4 linked regions of the Diceros bicornis minor genome follow. The protein of the gene in region 2 purifies or fractionates together with the protein of the main gene of each other region. This does not show direct contact. Links are inferred from orthologs where the notes say so. Each region holds a gene or a part of one and is shown on either strand. Other genes may lie near its edges. The genes, in order: SLC31A1, STX7, PTTG1IP and SNAP23.

The links.
Region 1: the proteins of STX7 (region 2) and SLC31A1 purify together in Homo sapiens (affinity purification with mass spectrometry; 3 studies listed by BioGRID and IntAct, counting the BioPlex papers as one, with this or other methods). This does not show direct contact. The link is inferred for Diceros bicornis minor from reciprocal best matches to the Homo sapiens genes STX7 and SLC31A1.
Region 3: the proteins of STX7 (region 2) and PTTG1IP purify together in Homo sapiens (affinity purification with mass spectrometry; 3 studies listed by BioGRID and IntAct, counting the BioPlex papers as one, with this or other methods). This does not show direct contact. The link is inferred for Diceros bicornis minor from reciprocal best matches to the Homo sapiens genes STX7 and PTTG1IP.
Region 4: the proteins of STX7 (region 2) and SNAP23 purify together in Homo sapiens (affinity purification with mass spectrometry; 3 studies listed by BioGRID and IntAct, counting the BioPlex papers as one, with this or other methods). This does not show direct contact. The link is inferred for Diceros bicornis minor from reciprocal best matches to the Homo sapiens genes STX7 and SNAP23.

The regions. Positions count from the first base shown.
Region 1 is NC_080767.1:21,478,244-21,485,735, reverse strand, and holds the start of SLC31A1 (high affinity copper uptake protein 1), read right to left. Parts: upstream 3,008-7,492; 5' UTR 2,782-3,007; intron 2,748-2,781; exon of another isoform or gene 2,038-2,747; intron 1-2,037. Other genes in the region: FKBP15 (FK506-binding protein 15), read left to right, coding at 3,181-3,233.
Region 2 is NC_080762.1:5,448,531-5,456,432, reverse strand, and holds the start of STX7 (syntaxin-7), read right to left. Parts: upstream 3,020-7,902; 5' UTR 2,930-3,019; intron 1-2,929. UniProt on the Homo sapiens protein: May be involved in protein trafficking from the plasma membrane to the early endosome (EE) as well as in homotypic fusion of endocytic organelles. Mediates the endocytic trafficking from early endosomes to late endosomes and lysosomes.
Region 3 is NC_080766.1:44,238,107-44,245,029, reverse strand, and holds the start of PTTG1IP (pituitary tumor-transforming gene 1 protein-interacting protein), read left to right. Parts: upstream 1-3,909; 5' UTR 3,910-4,054; coding exon 4,055-4,169; intron 4,170-6,923. UniProt on the Homo sapiens protein: May facilitate PTTG1 nuclear translocation.
Region 4 is NC_080744.1:40,080,489-40,087,391, reverse strand, and holds the start of SNAP23 (synaptosomal-associated protein 23), read right to left. Parts: upstream 3,023-6,903; 5' UTR 2,937-3,022; intron 1,136-2,936; exon of another isoform or gene 971-1,135; intron 1-970. UniProt on the Homo sapiens protein: Essential component of the high affinity receptor for the general membrane fusion machinery and an important regulator of transport vesicle docking and fusion.

The sequences.
Region 1 (7,492 bases), on a different chromosome or scaffold from region 2:
TGGGACGCCGCCACAGCATGGCTTGACAAGTGGTACGTCAGTGCACGTCCAGGATCTGAACCCTGGGCCACCGCAGGGGAGCACGAGCACTTAACCGCTACGACACCAGGCCAGCCCCTTGCTATGTCTTCTATTATGGTTATTCCTATACTTTGCTTAACCCCACTATTCAACTATAAGCACTTTGGGGACAGGAACAATGACTTACTCATTTTCCTATCCCAGGCAACACCCATCACAGTGCTGTACACATAGCAGGTTTTCAGACGGTATTTCTTGAATTGTGTTCTGACTTTTTTGCGTTTTCAGCGACTGAACAGAATGAACACTATACCAACTCGCCAAACCTATCTTCAGTTCATATCCCTATCACCACACCTGTGATCTCACTTGGTTATAATTTTAAACTATTAATTTTAAAATGCATTCACCAGCACAGATGAGTATGGGTGTACCTGTACATAAAAATTGTCATCTCTGTAGCAAAACTGCTGATAATTTGAAAGGAATTGTTAAAACTGCTGCTTCCTGGTTAACCTTCAGGGGGTCAATACATTTTATAAATGCATCTAAAAGCTGTGTACTTAAGCAAAACAAACAAAACACTTAATTCAAACTTGAGACCAAAGTTGTGCCTTACTTAACCTCTGTATCCCTAGCAGTACTTAGATGTCTAGGTCTAACCCACTCCTTTTAGAAAGTGTTTAGGGAGCCAGGGCCAAAAGCTCAGAGCGAGTTAGAAGGGCTGGGATGAAAATTCAGGTTTTGTGAATCCTAGTCCAATATTCTAATTCAGGAAAACAGTGGCTTTTTAAGTGCACCCAATCCTGCAGTTTAAAACCTGAGAGACTGAGGAAGCCTCACCACTATCTTTCCCTTCCTCATACTGCCAATCAGAACCAGCAGCCGTGTTCCCACAACAGTGATCCGGGAATGCATATTTTGGTGTCCCAAATATCAAAACGGCTGATCCAGATTTTAGGATTTCTGCATTTAAAAAGGCTACTTAACCACGCTGGATGAAAATGCCCCCAGGCAAGAACGAAAGATAAGCGTTCAAAGGATCCTTGAGCATTTTTTCAAAGCACTACTCAGATGCTTCAGCGCTGGAAGGACAAGGACCAGAACTGGGGAGAGGGATTACAAAGAGCTATGTTACTTATGCGGTTCATTCTTTTTTTCTCCTGAGAGGTAGCCAAGTCCACTTTCTAAACAGAACTACCGCAAAGAGTTCCAGTTATGTGCTAAGACTCCAGTTACATCATTGCGTTAACACTGTCAGCCTTCATCGCTCCCACCATCTTAATCTGTAAAATAAACAAGGAAGTAGACAACAGCCCTCTCTCTCAGTTTACAGAGGAATACTTTACTAACTAAAATTAGAGTTACATATAATATTTCTCGCTATCCTATTCCCCTCTTTCCCCTCCCCTAGAGTTTTAAACATTAGTAAAATCATCTTCAATTAACAAAAGAGGCTAAGTAACCCAGAGAGTTCACAGCTAGTACAGCATTTTTCTCTTTCTGGAAGCCATCTATAGAAGGCAAGAACAACTACTGGCCTCTTTGGGTCACATGGGAAAAAAGTCCTAAGAGAGTAAATTAAGGAATAAGGGAAGAATTACTCAATCTAACAAAAAATTAAGCCATTATGGGCAAGATGGTGCTCTGTGACACAGGAGACACCAAGATGAATAAAATTGCCCCCGTCTTTGAGGAGCTTACAATGTGGTAGAAGTACATAAACTATAATAAAACGCGGAACAAGGGAAGTACTAGGAGCTATGGAGTTTTCTGGGAGGGAGCTACAAATCACTTCACTTCAATTTCACGCTAACAGATTGAGACATTCAGGTAAGGGACACCTGTTGTGCGAACCTGACTGAGAGGAGAAGCGTCGAGTAAAAGAACTCCAGGGAGATCTACGGAAATGGACGCTACAGTGGGACATTATCTGCTTATCCACACCTTGGCTAAGCCAGGCCCACCCGGAGATTGTGCCAAGAATTATACCAGGTTAACCAAAGAAACACTTACATAAGATACAGGGAGGATGGACTGGAGGCAGAGAAGTCAGCAACAACTGATGTTGACTTAGATCTGTGGCAGGAAGACTAAGCAAAACCCAGGCCAAGGTCGGGGCTGTGGATTTTCAGCTTCTAAAATTTCCTCCTTTCCATCGCCCATCCCGAGAATATTTCAGCTCTCCTGCATAGGTGGACTCCAGAGAGGGGCCTTCTCTCAAGATGTAAGCCACAGTCTGGCAACGACCACTCTGTAAGGCACGCAGTGCTTAAGGGCTGATAAGGTTCTTGTTCACCCATCAGCTCACTAAAGTCCTGAATCAAGAGACCAGCAATCCAGCCCGCCTAAGTCATCAGAGTGTTTAGTTCCTTCCTCTTCCTATCCATAAATTCTGGAACACGGATTGAATTCGATGACCTCTGAGGTCTAAAAGCTTCTTAACCAGCCGGCACAGGAAGCACTGGACAAATAGCCCGTTGAATAAATAGCGAGGTCGGCCACAGGGAACAAGCGGTAGGGGCGTCACGCCCATTTTTACAAATGGGGAAACTGAGGCACCGAACACCTTGCCCCAAGGTCACTTCAGTTATGTCACTGTAGGGGCAAGGCCGAAAGCTTGGATCTGCAGACGGCCAGTCCCGGGCCCCTTCTCCTTTCGCCAAGCTGAGAAGAGTGGCGTGGAGGGTCCTTGTCCCGAAGGGGAAAGGACTGTGCCCGTGCCAGGGTTGCGAAAGGGGCGGGGGGAGGGGGACTTACCTTCCTAGATCCAGTCGCGCCACCGGCGCCTCCTTCTCAGAATCGTAACCCTTCACCCCTCCACCACTCTTCGGAAGCCCCTCCACTTCTGCCCGGCTCGTCGTGTCGGAGACCGCCACTGAACGCGGTCTCTGCCCCGCCCCCGCCTGCTCCGCTGGCCAATCCTGCGCAGGACTTCGGCGCTCCCGCGTATTTCACCGCCTCTGCTGGCTAGAGAATCCTAACGCCACGCGGCGCGCGTCCCACGAGGCCCTCCCCTGTGCCTTGGCTCCACCTCCTCCCGCGGCTTGTCTCCGCCCCGCCGGAAAGCAGACGCCGCGCGTCATTTCACGACGTCGGCAGTGAAAGGTCCGAGAAGAACCCCGAGTTCTTCCCAGCAGCGGGAGGAAAGCCAGCGCAATGTTCGGTGCGGTCGATGAAGACGACGCCGACTTCCTCTCGCCCAGCGGGGGGTGAGTGATTGAGAAGCGTGGGGCAGAGGGCGTGGCTGAGAGAGCCGGGCAAAATGTTGAAGGGGTAGATCTCTTATCAGACCTCTCCCCACTTCCGGGTCCACACCCTTGCCGCATTCCGGTGCTCTGCAGGTCTCAGAATCTGGGCAGAGCTCGCAACTGAGTCTGTCCGCCTGGATCGTGGACCTGACATCTCCGCGGACACGCAGAATGACCCTGCGGTTCGCCTTTTCCTTTCTGGGTCACAGTTTCACTTTCTGTGAAATGGGGGTGATTGCTGATGGGAGGACCTGCCTCAGAGTTTTTATAGGAGTCAGCTGGGGCCAGTGTGAGACTTTTTTCTCCATGCACGAGGCGGTGACACTTCAGAATTGGCCTGGGTGGGTCAGCTCCAGCATCCTTCAAGGCCCAGCTCGGATGTCACCTTTTTGATGGTTTCCGTTCTCCTACGGCCCCAGGCAGAATAAATTGCTTTGTCTTTCTTATTCCCACAGCTAGGCGTGTTTCAGTCTATCCTTGCACACCGAACCTACTAGATTACGAGTCCCTGACCGGACTGGGACTGCATATGTTGGTCATCTCTGTCTAGCCTCAGCACGGTACCTGGCACATATCGATTGCTCAGGAAGTGCCTGTTGAATGAATAATAGCTGTGAAATTGCACTCTAAAGCTTAAAACCAATGTAAGAGACTGTGGTCGCTATCCTCTGTCCCAGTCATTGTTATACTAGCCTGGGGTACAAGTTTTCAAGAGGCAGGGCTTTATCTCTTCCAGTAATCACTTTAGCCTTTTCCCTTGTGTTCTGTCAGTAGACAGCTTGACTCCCTTCTGACTTGTGAGCTGCTAAGTTCTGATTCTTGCAGAGCCTGTCTTCGAACATCTGTTTAAGAAATTTCAGAGTGTACTGAAGAATGATGAATACACCAACACATACTCCTCATTCTACTAAATGCTGCGAGGTTACGAAGATGATTAAGCTGCTGTGTCTGCCCTCAGGTCGCTTCCAGTCCTGGTGGAGAGTTCAGTACATGAATGACCATAAAATGACACTGGCCTTAAATAGGATCTTTTGACTTACACTGTGACTAGCTCTGTACTACCCATCCTGAAGTCTTCTTTTCACTCTCACCACCCTGTTCTACCCCACCCCTGCTTTAGATGGTCTACATCCACTTAGTTCCACTTGGGGTTCTTTTAGTTGCTCAGAGAGTTAAGCTGTGCTTTGGTTCCTTTTTCCCCTCTTCCACCCAAAACATTCACTAAAATTTCCACAGAGTCCAGCCTGCTGCTGTTGATTGTGTATTGAGCCTTTTGAATTCGTGTTTTTTCATACAAGCCTGTTTTGTATGTGGCTGTGCCTTTTGAAAGTTTACAAGATCTACTTTAAATTCACATTCTTCACTAGATGAAAGTATTTGGGGGAAGTCTGTAAATGAATGGTAGGGCTCTCAACTTTTGTGCAACAAGCAGTCCACTGCTGACTGAAAATTACACGGTAGATAATGACAGTCATGTGCTCTTTTCCAGATTCCTGGGCTGAGATAAGTTCTTGGTGGCTCAGCAATGCTGCTTTCCTGAGCAGGCTCATCAAGGACCGGAAACACTTTAGTTCTAGGCGTGTGACTGTGCTCCTAAACATAGACAACAGCTAATTGAATGATAAAAGGCTTAGTAAACAAAGTTATACAGATAACTTATTTTTGTTCCCAGTAATAACCAGAAAAACCAATCAAATTTAAGATTGAGAATATAGGAAGTTTCACCAACATTCTCTGATTCAGCTATTCCTTTTTTGGTTTTCTCTAAGGAAATAGAACGCATGACAGTGAGCACGGCAGCTCCTTTTCAGTTCCTCTTTCTAACTGTAATTTACTGTAAATATACTTGCTTATTAATTTTCAAATGTCTTGACTTAAATATATGACTTACTTGACTCCGTTTAGGATACTCCATTTAGCATAGTAGAAGTGAGAGTGTTAGTGCTGGGATGGCTGTCTAGATGATTGATAATCTGTTTCAAGTTTCCAGGCCTCTTAAAGTCCATGGTTAACCTAGAAATGGCACTCAGGAGGCTTGCTTTTTTTTTTTGGTCTTAGCCTTTTCTCCACTATTGTGACTTTAAAATGAAGAAATATGTGAATGCCTGCTAAGTGTATGGTTCTTGGCTTTAGCTAATACAGATAGGAATAAGGCACTGTTCCTGCCCCTAAAAAACTTACATTTTTGTAGTAGAATAAAATCAATCCAGTAATAATAATCACAAAGCATTTTTAAAGGGCCAGTTATGTATATACTTTTGTTTTAGATTATATAAAAATAATATGTAGGCATGGTAACAATAAATCAGTGTAAAGATAGAAAAAAGATAAATCTAGAACTGATATCAGAAAGCATTTTTAAGTTCTGTAAAAGATATGGAAAAGCCTAGATTCTAATGTTGATTCTACCCCAGTTAGGAGTGTGACTTTGGACAAGTCACTTCCCATCCTTGGCTCTCCATGCCCCAGTCTATTGAGTAATGGGATTTGCCCTGGGTGATCTTTGAGACCTTTCCAGTTCTATTGTTTTGTATTTATGATGATATCAGTTTATAGGTGCAGGTCAGTTTGTGCATTGATTGAGCATGCTTTCTCCCTTACAGGGGTAGCTGAATTGAATCGACATTTTAAGGTAATAGAGTGTGTGCACATGTATATAAAACATATATTGTGTACTTACTCAGTGCCAGGCACTGTACTAAGTACTATATATACTTTATCATATTTACTTCTCCCTACTACTCTGTGAGGTAGTTTTTACTATTATACCCACTTTACAAATGGGAAATTAAGGCTCAGAGAGGTAAGTTGCCTGAGGTCACACAGCTAAAAAGCAAAAGAGCTTGGATTTGAAATCAGGCAAGCAGATTTCCACCAGACTGCCCATGTGCCATTATTATTATTATAGAAGTAGATATTTAATACCACAGATCATAAAAGAAGTACTTTAACAACAAAAAGAATCCCTGTTTATTAAAATATTTTGATACAATATAAATGCGTGTGTAATTATTTATGATGAGAAAAGAAAAGGAGTATAAAACTAAGGCTAAGTGGGGACTTTGGCAACTAAATGCATTGGCTAACATTTTTTTTTTTTTTTTTTGAGGAAGATCAGCCCTGAGCTAACATCCATGCCAATCCTCCTCTTTTTGCTGAGGAAGACTGGCCCTGGGCTAAACGTCTGTGCCTGTCTTCCTCCACTTTATATGGGATGCCGCCACAGCATGGCCTGATAAGAGGTGCATCGGTGCGCGCCCAGGATCCGAACCCGGGTCGCCAGCAGTGGAGCGCGCACACTTAACCGCTACGCCACGGGGCTGGCTCTAACATTTGCTTTTAAAGTGTAGTTAGTACTGTAATGACTTTTGCCATAAATTATAAACATAAAGACTCAGGCCTAGAGTTAGCAAGCCCTTTTTTGCTAACATAGAGAGATGTCTACGTTTGAGAACACTTCAAAAGTGGAAAAATGTAATAATTTACAAGAAACTTATGTCCCTAAGTCTGTCTAGAGTTCATTTTAAAATATTAATAGAAACTAGAATTAATCTGAAAGATAACTGGGTTGACCTGGCTTTTGGATTGCTTTTACAATCAGTTGGCTGGCCTTTAGGGCATCTATGGAAACATAGAACTATGACACTTTTCTGTCTTTCCCTTGAAATAAAACATACTTGCAGAATTAAAATAGTAAATTCAATACCCATAGTTTACTGAAGCTAACAAGGACAGTTTTTTCTTATCAATTGTCTGTGTATCAGCCATTATATCTTAACTAGGTTCTCAGCTTTGTAAATTTTCACTGTTAAAGGCATTGCCCAACTTTCCCAGAATCTTATTCTTTTAGGGGATCTACCCAGATTACCCTCGTTAAAAGGAGAAATCTTGGTCTCTTCTAAATTTCGTAAGCATTTGTTGATGTCTTGTTTAGGCCAGCACTGCTCTCTACACTTGCAATCTCATTTAAACCTGTTAGTCCTTTAAAGTAGGCATTGTTGGGGCCGGCCCGGTGGCGCAAGCGGTTAAGTGCCCGTACTCCGTTGCGGCGGCCTGGGGTTCGCCGCTTCGGATACCTGACACACACCAACGCACTGCTTGGGAAGCCGTGCTGTGGCGGCGTCCCATATAAAGTGGAGGAAGATGGGCACGGATGTTGGCCCAGGGCCAGTCTTCCTCAGCCAGAAAAAGAAAAAAAAAGAGGAGAATTGGCAGATGTT
Region 2 (7,902 bases):
CATGGACAGACAGCTACCTACAAATTGACTTAAAAGTTTATCTTTGCATAGAGACTTAAGCAACCAAGTTATTTTGGCGCCTGCTTCCCACATCAGTCTCCAGCACCCAGGCCAGAGCTAATACACACCACAGTTCTCTTGCTGAGTACTTCCGAAAGCCCATTCAGAATCCCTTGTTTTACTGCTCAGAATAACAATAACTCATTATCTATACCTGCACTATCAAGTGTTCAAATATCACATGTGTGGCCAGTGGCTTGGCCAGCTCACGTATAGAACATTCCCATCATAGCAGAAAGTTCTATTAAACAGTGCTCATCTAGACATCTCAATAATTACCTTTCTATGAAGATATATAAACACTATGAAGAGAAAGAAGCAAAAAGAGAATCAAAGTGCAATACTGTCCTCTGTTGGTATCCTTGGGAGATTGGTTCCAGAAAGCCCACAGATACCAAAATCTGGGGATGCTCAAGTCCCTTATACAAAATGGTGTAGTATTTGCACATCCTCCCATATACTTTAAATCATCTCTAAATTACCTATAATACCTAACACAATGTAAATGCTATGTAAATAGTTGTTATGCTATATTGTTTAGGGAATAATGACAAGAAAAAGAAGTCTGTATACGTTCACACAAACGCATCCATGTAGGCCTTTCGATTCGTGGTTGGTTGAACTTGCAAATACGGAACACTCGGATACAGAGGATCGACTGTATTCACGAGCGTCCTCTCAAGACTTTCTAAAGAGCACAAATGAAAGAACAAAGGGAATTTTAACATGGAATCATGACTGTCAAACACCACCCCCAGTTACTACTGGACACATGCAGAATCCTTAAGATTCTCATGAATCTTCCCATGAAGATTTCCCTGAAGAAATCTCACTCTCTTAGGGCAATAGAAACAGTTTCACTTTCTTAATGGTGAGCACCAGCGTAAAGCAACAGACTTCCATCCACCCCGTGCCCCAAAATGTGAAGTTCCCAGAGGGGTAGGGTTTTTTTTTTTTTTTTGAGGAAGATCAGCCCTGAGCTAACATCTGTTGCCAATCCTCTTCCTTTTTTTTTCTCCCCAAAGCCCCAGTACATAGTTGCATATCCTAGTTGTATGTCCTTCTAGTTCTTCTATACGGTACGCTGCCTCAGCGTGGCTTGATGAGCACTGAGTAGGTCCGTACCCAGGATCCGAACCGGTGAACCAGGGGCTACAGAAGCAGAGCACGTGAACTTAACTGCTCCACCACCAGGCTAGCCCCTAAATATGACCATTTCTAAGACACTGAATTCCAGGGCCTTCTTTCAGATCCTGATGTCCCAGGACGATTGCTGCCTGGGGACCTTGCTGGGTGCTATTTCCTATCCCTAGAAGGCTCTTCCCACGATCCCAGTGACTGGCTCTTTTCCCCAGCAAGCTCTCATCACATGCTAGAAAAGCCTCCGTGACCACTGCCATGTGAAGTGAGAGATCACCACCCCGCCACTCTCTGTTGATCTCTCTAACTTACTGCACCATAGCACTGATCACCATTTAAAACGATCTAGTTAGTATACAGTTTATTATCTACCCCACCTCTGGAATACAGACACGAGAGAGACAACCCTGTCATCTTGTGGAATCCACAGTGCAGGGTGCACAGATGTTCCGTGAATGTGATGGCGATCCCTCTCCGGACACCAGCATTCTCTATAACTACACTAACCGCATTCTTGAGCTCAGCTCCTCCATCCGTTAACCTATTTACTACTTGGGTTTAGGTCACAACACTAAGGATTATTTTTCACCCTTTCACACACTAATCTTTCAAATTAAATGGAATCAGAGGCAAACTTTACTCAGACTTACTGCAGGTGTTTCATAGAATTTATTTTTCACCCACAGCACTTGGCTAAAGTTTGGGATCATAACCAAAATTAGGACTGACTGTGTTATGGGGAGCAGAAGTAAAATATCTGAGGAAAAATGACACAGATGTTGAGTTAATACGGTATTATATTATCTTCTTTGAAACTAAACCGTAATTCTTAACTGGTCACAAGTCAGACGCACTTCTCAAAGTGGCCTGCAAAGCAGAGGCTTGTCCACATCACAAGACACAGTTTACCACATCAGTTATCGCTCAGGCCACCCCCAGAAGACACGCCCACCTCCAACATTACTGAACCGCAGAGCATTTCAGAAGCATTTTCTTTTCTTCCAGATTCTGTGCCAGGTTTAAATTATATATATTTATAGTCAGAATACGTTGATCTGAATTAAACAAAAATTACTGCATGTATATAAGAGCCAAGCAAATCTAAGACACTCGAGAGAGAAAAATACAGCAATTGACCAGAAAGGCAATGTTTTTTTTTTTTCTTTTTGTTTGAATTTAAAGAAACTAACAACCTAAAAAACAAGGGGGGAGGGGGCAGCTGGAAATATTTTATATATCTGTCAAGGTCTTTATGTAAACCAATTAATGACAGGAGCTGAGAGGATCAAAGCAAGTCAGCGTGTCCCAGTCATCACGCCAAATAGGAAAACGGCGACAACGAGGCTCGGAACGAGCGCACAGGGCGCCCTCGCCGCCGCATTTTCAGTTCGCCTCCAGCGGGAGAACTTTTCTCCCGGGCGAGCGAGAAAGAGGAAGAGGTCAGCCCGCGGCGCAGGCTGGACTCCCGAGCCGCCCGGGCGGGCTGGGCGCCGCCCCACCCGGCGCGGGCGCGGCCGCGGGGCCCGGGGCGCGGGGAGGCGGGGGCCGGCCGGGCCCGGGGGCACGCCGCGCCGGCCCGGGCCGAGGGGAGCGGGCGCCCCGGGGCCGGGCAGCGCCCGCCGCACCGCGCAGGGCGGCGGCCCCTGACCACGCGCGCCCACCAGGAGGCGCGGCAGCCCCGGGCCGGCGCGCCCCCGGGGCGCAGGGACCCCCGCCCCCGCCCGCTTACCCCGACCTCCTTGGCTGCCTCCTCCGCCTCCGGCCGCTGGACCCCGGACCCACAGTCCGCAGCCACAGCTCTCAGCTGATGGGCGGTGGCGTCCAGACGCCCACTGCGCATGCCCGCGATACGCCTGGGAAGGAGGCGGCTCCTCCCCTCCCATTGGCCCGCGGAGCGGAGTGACAGCCCTGTCCCGCCCCCTCTGATTCTAAGCTGAGGGATGGGGGGACCAGCAAAATTGCAGAGCAGGTGTTCTTCGAGGCCTGACGTGCCGAGGGGGAACGCCTCACCCTGCGTGCAAAAACAAGAGGAGGGAATGCAGGGGAGCTGTCTTCTTTATAGGGTGATGCCAGCCTCCCTAGCCTCGCGTCTTCGGCCCGCCCCGTCAGCTCATGCCTGCTTTGTTGGCTAACCCTCAACTGCGGTAGACTGTATTCACAGCGCCATAGAGAGTGCGCACGCAAATAGGCAACCCCAGCAGGAACAATGAAGGAAAAGGGAAATCATGACCGTGTGCTCACTTGGTAGACAGGTGTTCGTAGCACATACAAGTCATCCTTGAAGGGCAGGGCGCAGTTTTCACAGTGTTTGAAGAGAGCAGAGAATGTTCTCGTAATAAATGCAGTATTCAAACAGAATGTAAGTGTTAGATAAACAGCATCAAATGCTTCAGGTGAAAGAAATACCTCAGCAAATTGGTTAGAAGATAGATTGGCTTGGCTTTTGCCTGTATTAAGGCAACACTATTTTCTGAAAGGATCATCAGGACGTCAAAACTCCAGATGCACTTAACGGGAAAAAAAAAAAAAAAAGAACATTTTGAGTTGAGCAAATTCTAGGTTGTTTGGAATTATACATGCATATATACATAAGTAAGGTCAGCCTGGGATAAGAAATACAAGGGTCTCGCAGTTTGTTTTTCATTTTTCTACTTTTAACAGAGAAGTGGGAAAAAAATATTTCTTTCTCCTCTTGACTGAAGAAAACTACACTGCAAGTGTGATAATGAGCAGAGACTTACACTCTGCCTCGGTGGGGAGGGGGCGATGGACGGAGGTGGGCACACTGGCCAAGCGGAAGGCACACACCCCATCTTCAGGGACAGCAGGATTCAGCTAAAGCTGATTGCAGACTTTTAGGAATACTGGCCCGATACGCAGTAGTCAAGTTTTCCGCCTTGTCAAAATACAGTGGAAATTCAGATTTTTATGTGAAATCTCTCCTTTCTTCAATATTCTTAAATTTGTATAATATATTCTGTGATCAGACAAAATATGTGTTTCAACCTCTATAAAAGGGAATAGTGTCAACCACAGAGTATGAAAGCTGGGGAGGCCCTTACAGAAAATCCAGGTACACTCCCTCACTTCACAGATTAGAGAAACTAAAACCCAAGGAAACTCCATCAAAATCACACAGATAAGTATAAGCAGCACAGGTCCAGATGACCTAGTTCGGAATCTTGAGTTCTTCCTACCATATCACTCATTCAGCAACTACTCACTGAGAACCTGTCATCTGTCAGGTACTGTGCCAGGCACTGCAGGTATGAAGATGGGTAGGGTATAGTGTTTTCTCTCAAGGAGTGAGATCCCTCCCAGGACACTGTAAAAGGAGCTATGATAAAGATTTGTACATAGCACAGTGAGAGTCCAGAGACGAGGATGCCTTACTGTGGGGTCAGGCACCACTCCAAAAGGAAAGTGTTAACAGAAGCTTGAAAGATGTGTAAGAGTTCACTGAGAAGACAAGGTGGGAAAGGACATTTCAGGCAAAAAAAGAAGCACATAAAAATTTATAAAATCATAGGCAAATGCAAACTCTTAGGGATCTCTATATGTTTATTTAGATAAACTGTAGTCAGTGGATTGGAGGGATACGAGACTGGAAAGGCAAATAGAGTTTATATAGTGAATGTATGTATGACATACACCTATCTACTGGGGCTTTGGGGGAGAAAAAAGGAGGAGGATTGGCAATAGATGTTAGCTCAGAGCCAGTCTTCCTCAGCAAAAAGAGGAGGATTGGCATGGATGTTAGCTCAGGGCTGATCTTCCTCACAAAAAATAAAATAAATAAATAAATAAATAAATAAATAAATAAATAAATTAGATATGGAGAATGAAAGAGATGACTCCTACTCTTAGGACACGCAAAACTGAGCTGAGCATGATATAGCTTACTGAGATCCAAGACTACTAACAAAGTAATTGTGGTTTGAGGAAGGAGCTGGTGAAATGAGGGAGTGAAGTGACAATAAGTTGAGCTTTGGGTGTGTTGTGTTTAAGTTTCTGGGGAAGGGACATCCAGTTTGAGATGTCCAGTGTCCTACAGGTACTTGAAGGTGTGAGCTGGTGTTCAGGATAGAGCTCTGGTTGGCACCGTGGGAACAGATGAGCTCACTAACTCTAAGGAAGGAATGTTATGGACTTTCTGTGTTTAAGGGAGGGTAGAGAAAGAGAAACCCTGAAAAGGAGTAATCAGAGACATAGGAAGTAAACTAGGAAAAGGTGAACTAGAGAATGAAGAGGGAATGTTCCATGATAGCACGTGTCACAGAAAGTTCAAGTAAATTAAGAACTGAAAGTTGTGTATTGGACTTGAGAAGTAAGAAGTGGTTGGTGAACTTAGGAAGAGGCATTTCAATCAATCAAGGAACTATCATGCAAAGAACTTACATCTACATAAGGTCTGGTACACTTTCCAAACATGCTTTCAAGTTACCTTTGCTAGAACCCTGGGCTGTGGGAGGGGAAGGCATGGTGCCCTGTAGAAGAAGACCCTGAGGCTACGTGGCCTCTCAGGTTACCCTGCTGGTTACTGCCTGAACTGGAACCACAGCTCAGAGCCTCCTCCTGGGCTCCTTCCAATTTCTCATGTCTTAAAACATGTTATGAGTGGATTCCTCCAGGTCTTTTGAAAATCTGAGAATAAGACTTCATCCCTTTGTAATCAAATGGAAAAAAATATAGTTTAGGTAAGCCTGCAAAATTTAGAGGCATAGAAGATAAATAAATTCCCAGAGAGTTCCTAACATTTATAGTATCCCTTCTTTGCATCTGCCTGCTACTTCGTGAAATTCAGCCAGGGGCCTTGAACCCAGGCAGGGCTCAAAAATTCTGCTCATTTAACAAGTAATCATTTCACTTCTCCCCGAACAAATCCTTTACACTCGCAGGAGTGACCTGTGTCTGAAGGCTTGTAATTTGGCTTTTCAGACCCAGTAATTTTGGGAATTTGGGTCTTCTTGAAAAGATTTTGAAGTGCAATCAGAAGTCAGTCAAGTGGTAATTATTAATAAATAAATAATAAAATTAATTAATGATTACTTATTTGTACAATGTAAAGTAGTTTCAGAATTGCTAACTCATATTCCTATGAGAGAAAAAAGCAAAAAACCTTGAGTACAGTGTTGATGGAAAATTCTTTTTGTTTTTAGCCTTACATTATTGAGTCGAGACAATGTTTTCCAAAATTAACCAGATCAGTTCTTTTCCCTACCCCATTCAGTGAAGTTATGTTTTATGTTTGTATTGCATTTAGATTTGTTTGTCATGTGTCTGCATTTCATCTGGGGTTCCTCAAACGTACTAGTTGATTTTTTTTTTAATTTGCATAAAGTTCACACTTTGTGGCACATAGTGCTATGGATTTTTGACAAATGCATGCAGTCATATATCCATCACCCCAATACCTTTGTGGGAGATCAAGATTTGGCCACCCTGAAATATATCTCTTTACCTTGATTGTTTTCTCTGAGGGACATTTGACCTCTCCCACTAACTGCCTAAAGAATTTGAGTTGGTGGCTCCTTCCTGGAACAGATCTTCTATCATCATGGCTGTAATGATAATGTAAAATAGATGTTACAATGGGAGGGGCACCAAGCCCCTTTTATCAAAAAACTCTCTCTCTCCCTGACCACATTATCTATAGATGAACCTGAAAAGAAGAATTGTCTTCTTGCCCTCTGAAGTCCCAGACCACTACCCACCCCCAACACCTTCCTCGCCTTTAGCTACAATACTTAAGCAAGCAGCTTAGACAGAGGGACGAGTTGCTCATTTCTGAGTTTCTCCCATGTATACATGTTATTAAACTTGGTATTATTTTCTCCTGCTAACCTGTCTTGCTAATTATTTGGCCAACCATAAGAACCTTACGGGAAAGGGCAGAGGGGGATTCTCCCTCTTCTCCCACACCTTACAGGACAGTTTCATCATCCTAAAGATTCTCTTTTGCAGTAACTTTTAGCTAACCACCTCTCCTTCCCCAACTCCTGACAACCATTCATGTTTTCTGTCTCTATATAGTTTTGCCTTTTCCAGAATGTCATACAAAGTGGATTATACAATATGTAGCCTTTTAGGTCTGACTTCGTTCACTTAGCAAAACTTAAGATATTTAAGATACTTCCACATTGTTGCATGAATCAATACTTTGTGGCTATTTTTTTATGGCTGAGTAGTGTTCCATTGTTTGGATGTACAATTTATTTATCCATTCACCTATTAGTTGTTTCCAATTTTTGGCAACTATGAATAAAGCTTCTATAAATATTTACATAGAGATTTAGATAAAAAATATAATTTTTCACTTCACTTGGGTAAAGATCTAGATGGGGGATTATTGGGTTGTATAAGTACATGTTTAATTTTATAAGCAAGTGCCAAATTGTTTTCGAAAGTGGCTGTATCATTTTGCATTCCCATCAGCAATGAATGAGGATTTCTGTTGCTCTAAATCCTCATCACCATTTAATATTGTTAGATTTTATTTTTTAATTTTGGTCCATTCTAATAGGTACATAGTGACATCTCATTGTGGTTTTAATTTCATTTCCATAATAATGTTGATCATTTTTTATATGCTTATTTAAAATCCATATATCTTCTTTAGCGAAGTGTCTGTTCAGATCTATTGCTCATTTTTTATTGAGTTGTCTTCCTATTGTTGAGTTTTAACAGTTCTTTATATATTCT
Region 3 (6,923 bases), on a different chromosome or scaffold from region 2:
TCTTTCTTATATCACAGTATCACCCACACCCCTATCGACCCCCTACCCACCCACAGAACTGTGAAGGGGGCACACGGGAGGACATCTGGCTTTGGGTCTCCTTTTATTTCAAATTCTAACTGCGTCAGGGCCTGTTACTGGGTGTCACCTGGGACCCTTTACCTGAGCAGGTGAGGGAAGCAGAATGGCCTGATGCCCCACTGCTGCCCACGCAGCAGCACTTCCCAGCTCAGGGGACTCAGCCCAGCCTGTGCCTGGGCAGCTTTAAACAGCATGGCACCCCAGGGAGTTCTGACTTCATTGCGGGGGGCGGGCAGGGGGCGGGTGGCTGGAATCGCTGCTTCTAAATGTTCCTCAGGTGGTGTCTGTGGCCAGCCGGGGTTGAAACCTGCTGACCCTCTGTCTTTTCTGCCTCTGTCCTTCCTTCCTTCCGCCCTGGAGCCCTGCTGACCCAGCCTGTCTAAGAGCTGCCACACACCTTTCCAGATCCCTCCAAGGCAAGTCCAAAGTCCAAGGCCCTCAAGTGTTCCCTTTTCCTCAGCTGAGCTGAAAATGAGATCTCCCAGTGTTAATGATCTCGGAGGTTTAATGTGTTACCTGCCCAGGTAGCCGCTTCACTCTTTACAAGGCCTTTCTGGAAGTAATTCTTTAACTTACTAAGGAATGTACTCGTAATGATGAACAAAATCAAATGGCACACTGACCAGGAATAAAAACAACTCTGGTGAAAATGCCTATCATGTGACTCCAATTTGCACAGTTCCAGGGTGGAGGCCCTGGCATTCCAAAACCACCAGAGCTTGACCTCAGCCCACCGGGCTGGTCTGTGCCCTTGGGCAGCCCTTTCCATTTCAGTGCGCTCAATGAATATTTCCCTTAAATTGCCACCATTGTAATGTGTCAGTTTAATTCCTTACCCATCTTTCTTTTTGGGAAAATCATACCCTCTTTCAATTCCAGACTGCAAACAGAGTAATCATCCTGTTTCTCTGAGAAGTCATTGTAGTTCGTACTTTCTCATAATGTGTCGTTTAGGTCTTTCCTATGAGCCTGAAGCTCTTTGACAATCAAACGTGTTAAGTTAAACAATGCCGTCCCCTCTGCCTCTGTTTTAAAACAGGAACTTGGGCTCTAGTTACAGAGTATTTTTTGAACTTCTGTGCTACCATATTGTCCCAAAACTCAGAGTATCTTAAAATGTCATTGCTGATGACGCTGTTTCAAATGTAGCAGTGTTCACTGTGTCCTGGTTAATGCTTACAAATGCCCACTGTCCTTCAGCTATCATTAAATTAGCATTGTGTGATTGTGCTATTAGGACAAAGAAATGTTGGTTTCCGAGGCCATAGTTCTAAACCCAGGCTGGTGTTTACTCCATTTCTAATAGCAAATGAGTTTTTAGACATCTCTTTATGCAGCAGAAGATCCAAAAAGCGATATGAAGTAATTGAACTGGAAGAGGAAGGTCAGACGTAGTTTACTGCAGTCAAGGGCCCTTTGCGCCTCACATGGACAGAGAGGAACTTTGTCACTTGATGAGGAGCCAGGGTAAATTTGAAGATATGCTCATTAAAACATTTGACGTTGGCACTGACTCGACATCCCGGACCCATGATCTTTCTGTGCAAGGGGCCAGGCTTCATTCTGTGCACCACAGACCAGTGCCATGGGTACCTGGGCCAGCTCGGGTCTGCCCTAAAGGGAAGACCGGGCAAGGTAACTCTGTGCTGTGACCTGCAACCCGCTGGTACCCTCTGGCCTGATTCTGTGACCTCATGATGGTCAGCAGTGCTGTGAGCCGAGCCACGCGCGCTGAAGCTCACCGAGGCTGAGTAGGTTGGCGGAGGTCGCAGAGGTGGGAACTGGTGGGGTTGGGATGCCGGCCTCACAGCTCTGATGCGCTCTTCTCCGGACCCCGTGACATTCATTGGACATGCACCCTCTGGGTCCAGTTTACCATAACTGGGTGACAGGGTGGGATGAGGTGTGCTGACTGGTCCTTGTACATCAAAGGAGGCACAAATACACAGCAACCAACTGTGCCCTCCTGGCCAAGAACAGTCTTTCCACACTGGCCCTGGGGGTTGAGGGCAAGTTAATTCTAACCACTTTGGGGCCTTCTCAGGGAGAGGAAGTACAGAAGATTTTATAGGCCACATCCCTGAATTCCAGCATGCTGGAAGAGAGAGAGGGGTGTTCCGATGAGTCTGGACCTTGCCTGCCTCCCCAGGGCTCACCTAGATTCTCAGATTAGACTGCAGCCCACCGCTCGGAATTCACCACAGTGCTTCCCTAGAGGGTTGAGGTACAGGTGGGACAGCAGTGAGACACGACTCAGTAAATGACGTTGGGGCCCTGAAGAAGATCAAAAATGGCAGACACCTCCCCTGTGGCAGACACCTCAACAGCGATGCAGCAGACATCACTAGCTGATCCCAGGACTGCTCCTACCCAGCCAGGGGAGGGCTCTCACCAGGATGGTCCAGACAGCCATACTGACCAGACCAAGCTTAGGAGACGCATCTCTTGCTTTCCTGAACAATTCCCAAATCCACTCAACAATTACCAAATCCTCACTCTACTTTGATTATGGAAAGTCTTAAAAAGAAATCAACTGGACTCTTGCATTATATATTTGCATCACTTCTTGTACAGCTTTAAAAAGAAGCCAGTATTTTAACTACTGAATTTAAAGATACTAAACAACAAGGTCCAATACCATAGAGAGGGCACTAAGTGATGGAGTGACAAGTGACCATAGCGTGAGCAGTTCTCCACAGAGCTGTCAACTTAAAAGGCAAAACCACCTGTTATTTTATCTCCAAAGGAGTGTATTCAGAAATAGCCAAAAGAATTGCAACTCAGAATGCGCAAGCTGTGGCAACCCATAGACAAATCCAGAGGACAAAGGAGGGGGCTGCTTTTATACAGAAATAGGGGGAGAGGGAGGGGCTGAAAGTCCATTGGGGGAGAGAAACAGATCAGGGCAGCAATGGCTTCTCATTGGATGAACTACAGTGTTTCTCATTGGCTGAGCTGTGGCTTTCTCATTGGCCTGGCGCTCCCAGGTGGGGAGAGAAGTCTTCCTTCAGTAGTAAAGTAGTTGTACTTCCTGTGGGAGATGCAAGTCTAGTCTCTTCCTGTTTGGTGTAATTGAGGATGTGATGGGGGTGAGAGCTCCCCCTGCAGGCCTTCCCAACCCGGTTTAGTTAAGGTTTGTCTTATTTCCACAAGGTCAAAGATGGGTCCTGGCAGGGAGGAGCACGCAATCCCAGTGTTTGGGGTCCTGGGGTCCATGGGCATGTGAGAGCGAGAAACGCAGCTTCTCTCAGGACTCTAAAGGAAAGTTTCAATAATAAAAGTCTACACCAAGTTTGAGGTTGTTTTAAATGTTTTTAACTACATAAATAACTAAATCCTCAAACATTACTATCTGAAAGCCGACAAAGTTTAAGTAGGGCCATTTCCGAGGGAGCGGGAGTATGCCCAGCGAGGATCCGACTAATGGCCGAGGGAGCCGGGGCGGGCGGGCTCCTGGGGGGTGGGCCCGGAGGGAGCGCCGTGCCCACGGGGGCGTCCAGGGACCAGGGTGCCGGAGGCGACGGTCTTCCGGGCAGGGGGTCGGCGCCGACCGCGTTGGCTCTGCACGGCCCGCGGGACCAACCAAAGAGGGGCGGCGGCACCAGCAAGCCCCAGAGCCATCTCCAAGCCTTCGCCGCCCCTTTAGAGGCAAGGCCACGGCGCGCCCCCTCCCCAACACCCCTCCCAGCCGAGCATGCGCACTGAGCCACAGCGAGCCCGCCGCCCGTCAGCCGCGCAGGCGCACTGAGCGACGCCAGGGGGCGGGGAACGCGAGCTGCGGGGGGTGGGGGTCGCCGGAGGGCGAGGGACGGGCGAGCAGGGGCGCGCGGCTGCGCACTCGCCTCGCCGCCACCCTGCCCACTTCCGGCGCGCGGCGCTTCCGGGCAGAGGCTCCGTGGCAGCTGTCCGAGGTGTGGTGCGTCCGGTCGACGACCGACCGACCGACGGACTGACCGGCGGGGCCCCAGCCACCATGGCGTCCGACGGGCCCCGTGGGCTGACGCCGCGGTGGGGACTGTGCCTCGGCGGCGCCGCGCTGGTCCTGCTGCTCCTCCCGGCGGCCGCGGCGCAGGAGCAGCCCGGAGCGGGTGAGGGCGGCCAAGGGGGCACGGGGTCATGTGGGCGGGCGGAGGGGGCGCGGCGTCATGGGGTCGACCGAGGGGACGAGGGGGCGCGGTGTCGGGCGGGGATATGGGGGAGGCGGGGTCGTGGGGTCGGGCGGAGGGGGTGTGGGGTCACGGGGTCACAGCCGCGCCGGGTTGCTGCTCCCTGCGCGCTGCGGTCTGCGGGGGCGGCCGCGGGTCCACCCTTTGGCCCCGTCGGGCGGGTGGAGCCGCAGCGGGATGTGCCTACGGGAAAAGAAGGGGCCGAGCGGCTGCCCCAAGCGTGGGTGTGTCAGGGGGTCCAGATGGCGCCCGGCCGTGCTGCGCGTTTCCGCGGGCCTGCAGTGGCGGCCTAGCTTAGCACACTTTTCTCGCTGAAGCTCACCGCGACCCTCGGAAAGATTGGGGGGCCGGTGTCCAGGCCACGCCCGTCGAGGGTTGCGAGGGCCGGGGCTCATGTCCCGGGGCCCTGCTTCACGCGGGAGGCCTGGGTGGGGCCCTTATGGCCAGCCTCACCGCGCACGTGAAGATTCCTCCGAGGATCTCCAAGACTGTCGTGAAGGCAGGAAAGCACAGGCCGTGGCATTTGCCACCTGGAAGCCAGCTGATCCCTTTTCACACTCTCCAGACCTGCAGTGGGCGTTCTTCATGGGTTTATCCCACCTGTTTTTATTAACCACCTGTGCCAGGTGCTGAGCCGGTGGTTCTTATGTATCCTTGAGCTGAGTTCCTGGAGAGACTGACTAGAAAGCAAGCCATTGGGGCTGGGGGGGCGGTGAATAAGGGGAGTGCATGGAAAAAAGTGCACGACCTGAGGCCCAAAGAGTTCTAGAAACTGAGTATTGCTGGAGATGGCTTCCTGTGGGCAGAGCAGGGCCTGATGGGTTGTCTGGAGGCTGGTGGAAATCTGGGAAGGGTTAAAGCTGGGGACTGTTGTGGGACCTGTTGCAGAATGTCCCTCTCTGACTGCTGTGTGGAGTCCCCACGTGATCACTAGTTGTGGGTAACAGAGCCACAGGAGGCTGCTTAACCTGTTTCATGATGTTTACAAGTAGCATGGACCGGGGCCCAGCACAAGGGACAGTTTGTCCTCAGCTGATCTCAGCCCAGGCTTGGTTTAGTACAGCCCAGTGCCTTTCCTCTAGGTGACCTTGTTGAACGTTTATTCTAGGGCAGGACTGCTTGAGTGTCCTCTAATCTACTTCCAGGAGTATGTGTGTATGTGTCTGTGACGGTCACAGTGCAGCCTCCTGGCGTGTGTTAATGAAGCAGTCAGGTTGCACTGTATAGGGAACTTTTGGTCCAAACTGAGTTCTAAGCTCAAACGTGGAATGAATACTTTTTACCAAACAGAATGGCTATCTGCCAAGAGCCTGTGATTTCGAAAGAATGTGTTTATTACCGATGGCTGGGGGGAGGGGGGATGCCCTTACCAGAGTGGGCGTGTGAGGGGGGGGTGCCCTTACCAGAGTGGGCGTGTCTGGAAACGCCCTGAAGCCTCCTGTTTGGCTGCTCTGCTTTCCATGGTGCCCTGGGCTTCTGAAGCTGCAGAGACCCCGTGTGAGATGAGTGGGAGTGTCCTGTGACGGTCTGGGAGGTGAACCAGACTATCACTCTAGCATTTCAGGTGACAAGCAGCTGCTTCTCTAGCCACACGGCATTCCACTTACCACCAACGAAGCTGGAGGCTGCTCTTGTTTCCTTCAGCTCACAGGGATTCCTCTCTGTCCCAGGGTACACCCCAAGTCTTCAGTGGGTGGGAGGGGGTGGACGGTTGTTTCTCTTGTCAGCAGTGCCTTCAAGTGGGAGGAATGGTGTCCTGCTGGGATGGTGTTTACGCCCCCGTGCCCTGGGGTCTGCATTCGCCTTTCCTTGGAGAGAGGTGCTGTTCCAGCATGGAGGTCCCCCTCCCACACCGTTTGTGCTTGTGCGAGATTTTCACCACTTGTCATGCTTTGGGCATGTGGCTACACTATTTTGTCTTCCTTGCAAGCACATTAGTCAAGGTTCTCCAGAGAAACAGAACCAACAGGATATGCACAGCTATAGAGAAAGAGAGTTATTATAAGGGACTAGGTCACACGACTATGGAGGCTAAGAAGTCCCATGATCTGCCGTCTGTAAGCTGGAGACCCAGGAGAGCTGGTGGGGTCCAAATAGGAAGGCCCGAGAACCAGAGGAGCCAGGGGTGTAAGTCCCAGTCTGAGTCCGAAGGCCTGAGAACCAGGAGCACCGATGTCCGAGGACAGGGCAAGATGGATGTCCCAGCTCAAACAAAAAGTGAATTCATCCTTCCTCTTGCTTTTGTTCTGTTGGAGCCCCCCAACAGTTTGGACGATGCCCACCTGCATTGGTGAGGGCAATGTTTACTTGGTCTATCAATTCTGATGCTAATCTCCCTTGAAACACCCTCACAGACACATCCTGAAACAGGATGTGAAACCAGCTATCTGGGCATCCCTTAGCCCGTTCAAGTTGACATACAAAATTAACCACAAGTATGTAAATTCAAAGAATACATCACAGCAATACAAAATCAACAATTTCTGATGTTTTCCTGTATGCTTTGGTGGAGAGGAGACATTGGGAACTTGTGAGGTATTGAAGATCTTTGGAGCGGAATTTTTTAAATTAAAGAAGTCTTCATGGGCCCTGGACCTCACCAATTGTGTATGGGGTCAGACTCGATCCCAGAGTTTCATCTTTACATCCCGGGGGAAGACGACCCCTAAAAGGACC
Region 4 (6,903 bases), on a different chromosome or scaffold from region 2:
TTTATACAAAAGGCAATACAGTGTAGTGGTTAAGTGCCCAATATTTGGAGGCATAATGGTTTCAAATCCTGACTACTGATTACTTAACTTCTCTGTGCTTCAGTTTTCTCATTAAATAAGGATATAGTGCTTACTTCAAGTGCTGTTACAAGGATTGAGCTAATTCATGCAAAGCATTTAGAACTCTGGCTGGCACACAGTGCTCAATAAAGCTATTATAATTTTTCACAATAATTATTAAATATCTCTCATGTTTTTGACTTGGGAATCAAAATCCAAGCAAGATCAATTTTTTTAAAAACTGCGATTTTTAGGGGCTGGCCCAGTGGCGCAGTGGTTAAGTTCGCACGCTCCGCTTTGGTGGCCTGGGGTTTGGATCCCAGACACGGACCTACGTTCCGCTTATCAAGCCACGCTGTGGCAGTCGTCCCACATATAAAGTTGAGGAAGACGGGCATGGATGTTAGCCCAGGGCCAATCTTCCTCAGCAAAAAGAGGAGGATTGGCAACAGATGTTAGTTCAGGGCTAACCTTCCTCACCAAAAAACAAAACAAAACAAAAATTGTGATTTTAGACTATCAAAGAAGTGTCACAATGTAAGGCCTCAGTAGTCATGCAGGAATATAACGTGTGTATGTGTGTGCATGTATATAGAGGGGGCAGGGTTGCTTTAAAAGGCAGACAGGAGACAGGTTGTGAAGGGCTTTGTACACTATACCAAGAAGTGTGGATTTTATTTTATAAGCATCATGAGGCCATCTAAAGGAAATCTCAGTTGTCAAAACATTGTTAAAATAAATTTAAAACAAACTTTAAATCCAAGTTACAGAACTCACAAAAATCAACAAGATGAGGGAATTTCAGAAAAATATAGAGATCAGTGATTTAAATATTTTAGTTGCAATAAAACCTAAATTGAATCAAAATCAAACTGTCAGTGAATTTAAATGAGTGCAAACAGAACCTCACCTCCAACCCCAATACCACAAAAAGAACAGTACATGCTGTTTCCTGGCTCCACAATCCACTTCCTCCAATTGTTGGAGGCACTGGATCCATCTGTTTCAAGCCTCTACCCACCATGACAAAGAAAAGACCAGTCCTTGTCATCAACTCCTCTGTCAATCTACAGACCTGGAAACAAAACATGGCACTGGAATAAAAAGTTCAGCATTCTTGAATGCAAGCAACATCATATATTATAAATGCTAACTAACACATACAATGCAGAGTACAAATACACCTAAAAACAGATTTCCAGAATGTTTAGGACATAGGAACCAAAGAAGGAAAAGAAAATGCCTTAATTCAGAAGAAAAAAAAATGAAAGGCAGCTGATTTCACAAAAATGTCAAAGAGCAAACATCCTCTTTTTCTCTTTTGCTATTACAATCTACTTTCATTTGGTAAAACCAGATAAGTAAGTTTGCTAGAACTGCGTTAACAATAATGAATGCCATCACAGGGCTCACAGAATTTTGAAGTTCTTAGAGTTTAGGCAGTCCAATCTTTACTTCATTTTAAAAATGAGTAGATTAGACCCAAAACAGTATTTTCCAAAGGGCAGAGCAACAACAAGAGATGATTTTAGCTGTTATATAAGCAATAGTTATGTACTTAATAGTTATGTATTTATTATAATGTGTACTAGAAAAAATATTATAAAATACACAAAACTAGAAAGTATTATAAAATACAAGACCAGGATTTCGTAGATTATCACTTTGGAAGAGGGTAATGTTCAAAAAAAGTCTATTAAAAATACGAAGTAAAATAACACAGACGATCCTCTAAAAGGCAAAATTTATGATGGTGGTATGGTTCATGATAAATGAAGTACTGACAGCTGTTCCACGAGCAACAGGGCCTGTTTTGTTGTTTGTTTGCTTTCTTCTTGATTTAAGCTTGTGTTCTGAATGATTAGAAAAAATGTGACCTTTAGTTAAGTGAGCTTGTTAGTATACTTAAGTTCTTTTAGAGTAAAAGAAACAAAGGCTAAGATCCATACAGATATTCTACTGTTCATAGGAAACAGTGTAATAAGGTTAAGAAAATAATAGCACAATAAGTCAGTCCTATTCTGGAACTAAGATAACAGCAACTTTCTAGTGCATATCCACATACCACAAGCACTTAAAAAAAAAAAAAGCCCTAGCAACAATGATAAATATTTAAGCTGTAGGCTAAGTTATATGATCATTTTATTTACTTTCACATGACCTGTCAAAAGAGAATGGTAATGTGAGGTGTTTCTCCTGTTTCTCCTAATATTTGCTAGTATTTATACGAATGCGGTCTTTTTCATTACCTCTTGCCAAAGGAACAAATGACAAGGATCACTGAATGCCTTAGGCATCAACTTTGCTGGTGGCAAAAATATTAATTTTTAAAAATTTTACTATGAGACATTTTAAGATTAGATCTCAGAGTATTCTAGCTAATGATGCCTCATGCATTTCAAGTGTGGTATTTTCCAGGCTACGGAAGAACGTGAGAGAACCAAGTAAAACAGGTAAGATTGTACTTTCCTAGAAAGCATGGACTCGCCAATGCCATGAACCTCAGAGATCTTCTTCAGACAACTAATTCACAGTTATCTGATCACTGTGGTCACCATACAGTCTATTAATCCCGACCACAGCAAACCTGTGGAGGTCGGGGGTGAGGGAGTGAGAGTTTACCTCCGCTCGGTTTCAAGAAAGGGTCCAGAGAACCACCATCCCGCCACCCTGCCTGTGCCGGCCTCTCGACAGTCTCCTGGCGCCTCGCGTCCTCGCTCCGGGCCCGACCTGCCCAGTCCGAGCCACAGCCCCGCTCCTCCCCTAAAGCCCGATCCTACCAACTTTTCAACCGTCATGATATACTCTTTCTCCTTCGGATACGATCCCAACCTTCACCTCGGCCAGCTCCCTCAGCCCCACTCCTGGAGACTCACCACGCAGTTCGGCCACTCCTCTGCGGCCTCGGCAGCTCGGACACCCCCAGACTGGACTGGGACCTGCCCCTTCTTGCGCCTGCGCACGCCGGCCTCACACGCCTGCGCACTTCCCCGGCGCCGCGGGTGCGGCCACACCCCTGCAGCTGGAGCCAATCACGGTGCGGGGGGTTTAAATCTCCCTGCCACGCAGGCGAGGAGCCTGGGGACTCACCCGTTAACCGGATAATTCGAGTCCCGCTTGTAGGTGGGAAGTGTTCAAGCAACAAACATTTACATGTACCGTACTGAGGGCAAACCGCCAGGCACTGTGCGGGATGAACACTGAGGAAAAGAAAGCGAATAGAATGCCTTCCCTGCCCTCTAGGGTCTTTTGATCTGTCTAGACTGGGAGATAGATATGTAAATAAATTATAGTGGATAGAATATAGTGCATGGCATATAGAAAATCCGAGGCGCCGCTGGCGCACAGTGAACACAGTGCCTTATTCTTAGGGGTGGCTGGATGGGTTCCCGGGGGAAATGACTTTTGAGTCATGAAGGATAAGTAGGAGTTCCCCCGGAAGTCCGGGAGGGAGAGAGACTATTTTCCAGACTGTGAGAACAGCGTATGCCAAGAAGAACATAGCGCCTTCTGGAAATTACTTGTAGTTCATCCTGGTTAGAGGTTTAGAGCTCATCGTATATCTCCAGGTGAAGGGGGAATAAGCTTTAAAAAGTTGGCAATTGCCAGATCTTGGGAGGTCTTGCATTTTTGGACTAGTGACCCTGCACTTTATACTGTGATCACTGAGAGCTACTGAAGGGTTTTAAGCAGGTCTGGGAACTCTTCCAGGCACCTCTAAAAATAAAGCACAGTGCTGGGGGGGAAAAATGCTTTAAAGAGGGAATATTCTATTCCTAAGGGGTCAAGGAAGATGAAGCCTGAGAAATATCTTTTGAATTTAGTAACACAGAGATCATTAGTGATCTTAGCGAAAGCTATCTGTTGGGATGAAGTTGAAAAATAGATTGCAGTAGTTTGGAGAGAGAGGAGATACAGAAATGGGGACAGGTTGTAGAAAGCTTTTGGAAAGTTTGGCCTTGAGGGTAGGAGGGAAAGGGATGACAAGGGGTCAAAGTTTTTTGTTTCTATTTCTTGGATTTTTTGTTAGAATTAAGGCAGGAGAAACTTAAGCATGATAGGGAATATGCAACTGAGAAAAAACAGTTGAATAAAGAGAAGTGCTAGTTAGTAGGTAAAGATCTTCAGAGGGTAAGAATGGAGGCAATCCAGAGCACTGATGGGGGGACAGTCTTAGAAGAGAGATCTTCTCAATTATAATGAGAGGAAGTATGTGTCTGTAAGTTTGTATGTTTAGTAACAGAAAGTTAAAGAAGTTCTCATCTGATCACCTCTGTTTTCTCTGTGAAGTAGGAGATGAGGTCATCTGCTGATAGAAAAGGAGTTGGGAATTTTAAGAAAGTGGAGAAGATTTGGAATGTTGTAGAAAGTGATAGAGCAAATTGACCAGAGGAAAGTAGTAGAACTGGTAAGCCATGTTGAGGGCCTGTATAAGATTGGTAAAAATGAACTCACCAGTTTCTGCCCTCCTGCATAGATTTCTCAAGCAGTAATCACTTCTTGAGGTAGAAGTGGAGAAAATGTATGGTTGAGTTCATTTAGCGTTGGGATGGTCACTGGCATAATGCCATGGTTCTCAACCAGGGACATTTTCCTTTTTTGGTCTCCAGAAGACATTTGGCAATGTCTGGAGACATTTTGATTATCAAGATGGTGGGTGGGTGGGGATGTAAGGGGGCACTACAGGCATCTGGTGTCCAGGGATGCTGATAAATAGCCTAAAATGCACAGGAGAGCACAGGAACTATCTCCAAAATGTCAATAGTGCCAAGGCAAGGTTGAGAAATCATGATCTAGGATTACCTTGACGCTCACCAACAGCTGACCTTGGTCTTCTACAAGCTTTTCGTTGGACTATGGTCCAGAGCTTATAGGGTAAAGCAGTTCTTCCATTGCTTGCCTTTAAAGGAGAGTAGAATGAGCAGCATACCTCAGACCTTGAGTGTTTCAAGGACTTGTGATGTCACAAACACAGAATGGGAATAGTTCCTCAATCCTCTAGAAGCAAATCTGGATTTACACAGAGATGAAGGGAGCTGCTTACTTTGATCTGAGGCATTGAAGGTCTTGTTAAACATAGATATTATTAGAAGTTCAACAATATAGGAGGAGTAACACTTCACAAATTATCAACCTTAATGTAATTTGGTTTATCTCACTAGTTTTAGTCACTAAAATAAGATCCCGAGAGAATGGGTATGGGCTAAGTTTAATATATATAATTAAGATAAATTAATATTAATAATTAATATAATATAAATACATTAAGTATTAATAAGAATGTAATTATTAGTATTAATGGATTATCTGCTCTTTGATAGGCACCATTATGGATAGGCACTTGACCTATGTTATGTCATTTAATCCTAGCAACACCTTGAGAGATATCCTAATTTTAACTCTGAGGAAAGTGAGGTTCCAAGAAAATTTGTAATTTACACAAAGTCACAAAGTACTAGTATCCAGGTCAAAAAAATTGGAACTCAGGTCTGTGTGTTCTAAAGCTCTTGCACCTTCCATTAAGCTTCAGTAAATTTTAGAAGGAAGGAGTGGTTGGCAATGTAGCGGCAACAGTTGCCACCGCCTAAAGGGAATGGTGGAGACAGGAAGAGACTAAGAGCAAGAGCGAGGCCCGGAAAGAGAAAGAGAATGAAGAAGGAACCGGGAGGCTGCTCACAGGAGCGTGCAGCGCAGCGGACTAACTTCGCAAGCCTGCCTGCCTTTTGTCTTCTCCCATTCTTTTAGAGTACATAAACCCTTTTCCCCCTGTGTCCGTTGTTCACTTTCGTGAGTTCAAATAAAGCTAGATTATTGAGAAAGGCGGACCTCAAAGGAAAAAAAAAAAGAGAGGGGAGCTCTACGGCGGCGGTGTGCGCTTGCGCGCTGGCGGCGGCGGCGGCAGCGGAGCCCGGAGGGGAGCCGGTTCGGAGCGGGCCGCCGGGCCCCAAACCGAGGGGGCGTCTGGGGCGTCAGGGAGCTCCCTCGTCTGGGCCTCGGCGGCCTGATGGAGTAAGAGGGGTCGCCTGTGAGTGTGAGTATCGAGGGGCCGAGCTGCGTTGAGGCGTATCGGAGCCCGAGGGTCCTGGTGGTCTGCCCCTTAGGGAGGTTTGGGGCTGCAGGACGCGGCCGGATCTCTGCTCCTGCAGGCCGCGGTGCAGGGGCAACCCGGTCGTCCCCTCTCCCCGAGCCGCGCGGGTTTACGGGCAGGCGGTGCTTTTGGCTTCGCGGTACAGATTCTCGCGGGGGCGTTCCGGCTCTGCTCCCAGCCGGAAACGTGGCGGCAGAGCCTTGACCTTTAGGGGAGGCCGCTGACCTCCTTCGGCCTTTGGTGCCGCAGGGAGCCCATAGAGTCAGGGTGCTTAAAGGCCTACGGGTCTCCGGCCAGGAACACCTTTCGACCACTTGTGACTTACAGCCTCCGTTCTTTTTCCTTCTTCCGTCTTCTCTCCTTATGGGATGCGTCTTAATAATAGCTGTTAATTATGGAGCGCTTACTATGTGTCAATTTAGTATTTAGTCCGAATCTGGGTGCATAATTATGGAGAGGAAATGCTTTGCACCCCACTCCCCCTTCAATCTGCTCGATTTAATTATCTTTGAGAGTCAGAACCATCTTTTGAGATTAAGCTATCTTGTTGGGAAGTTTGAGATTTCCATGACTCTTAGCAATTTGGGACTGCCATCCTGGTTAAGGGAAGTTCTTCTCTTACCTACCAAGAGAGTGCTTTATCCACCATAATGGTTTATATCGAATTTACTCAAGCCAGAATAACTTTGGAGCACTTACTAAGAGCTTAGTACTGTGCTAAACCCTTTAGGAAATCTTATAATTAGTTTTAAGCT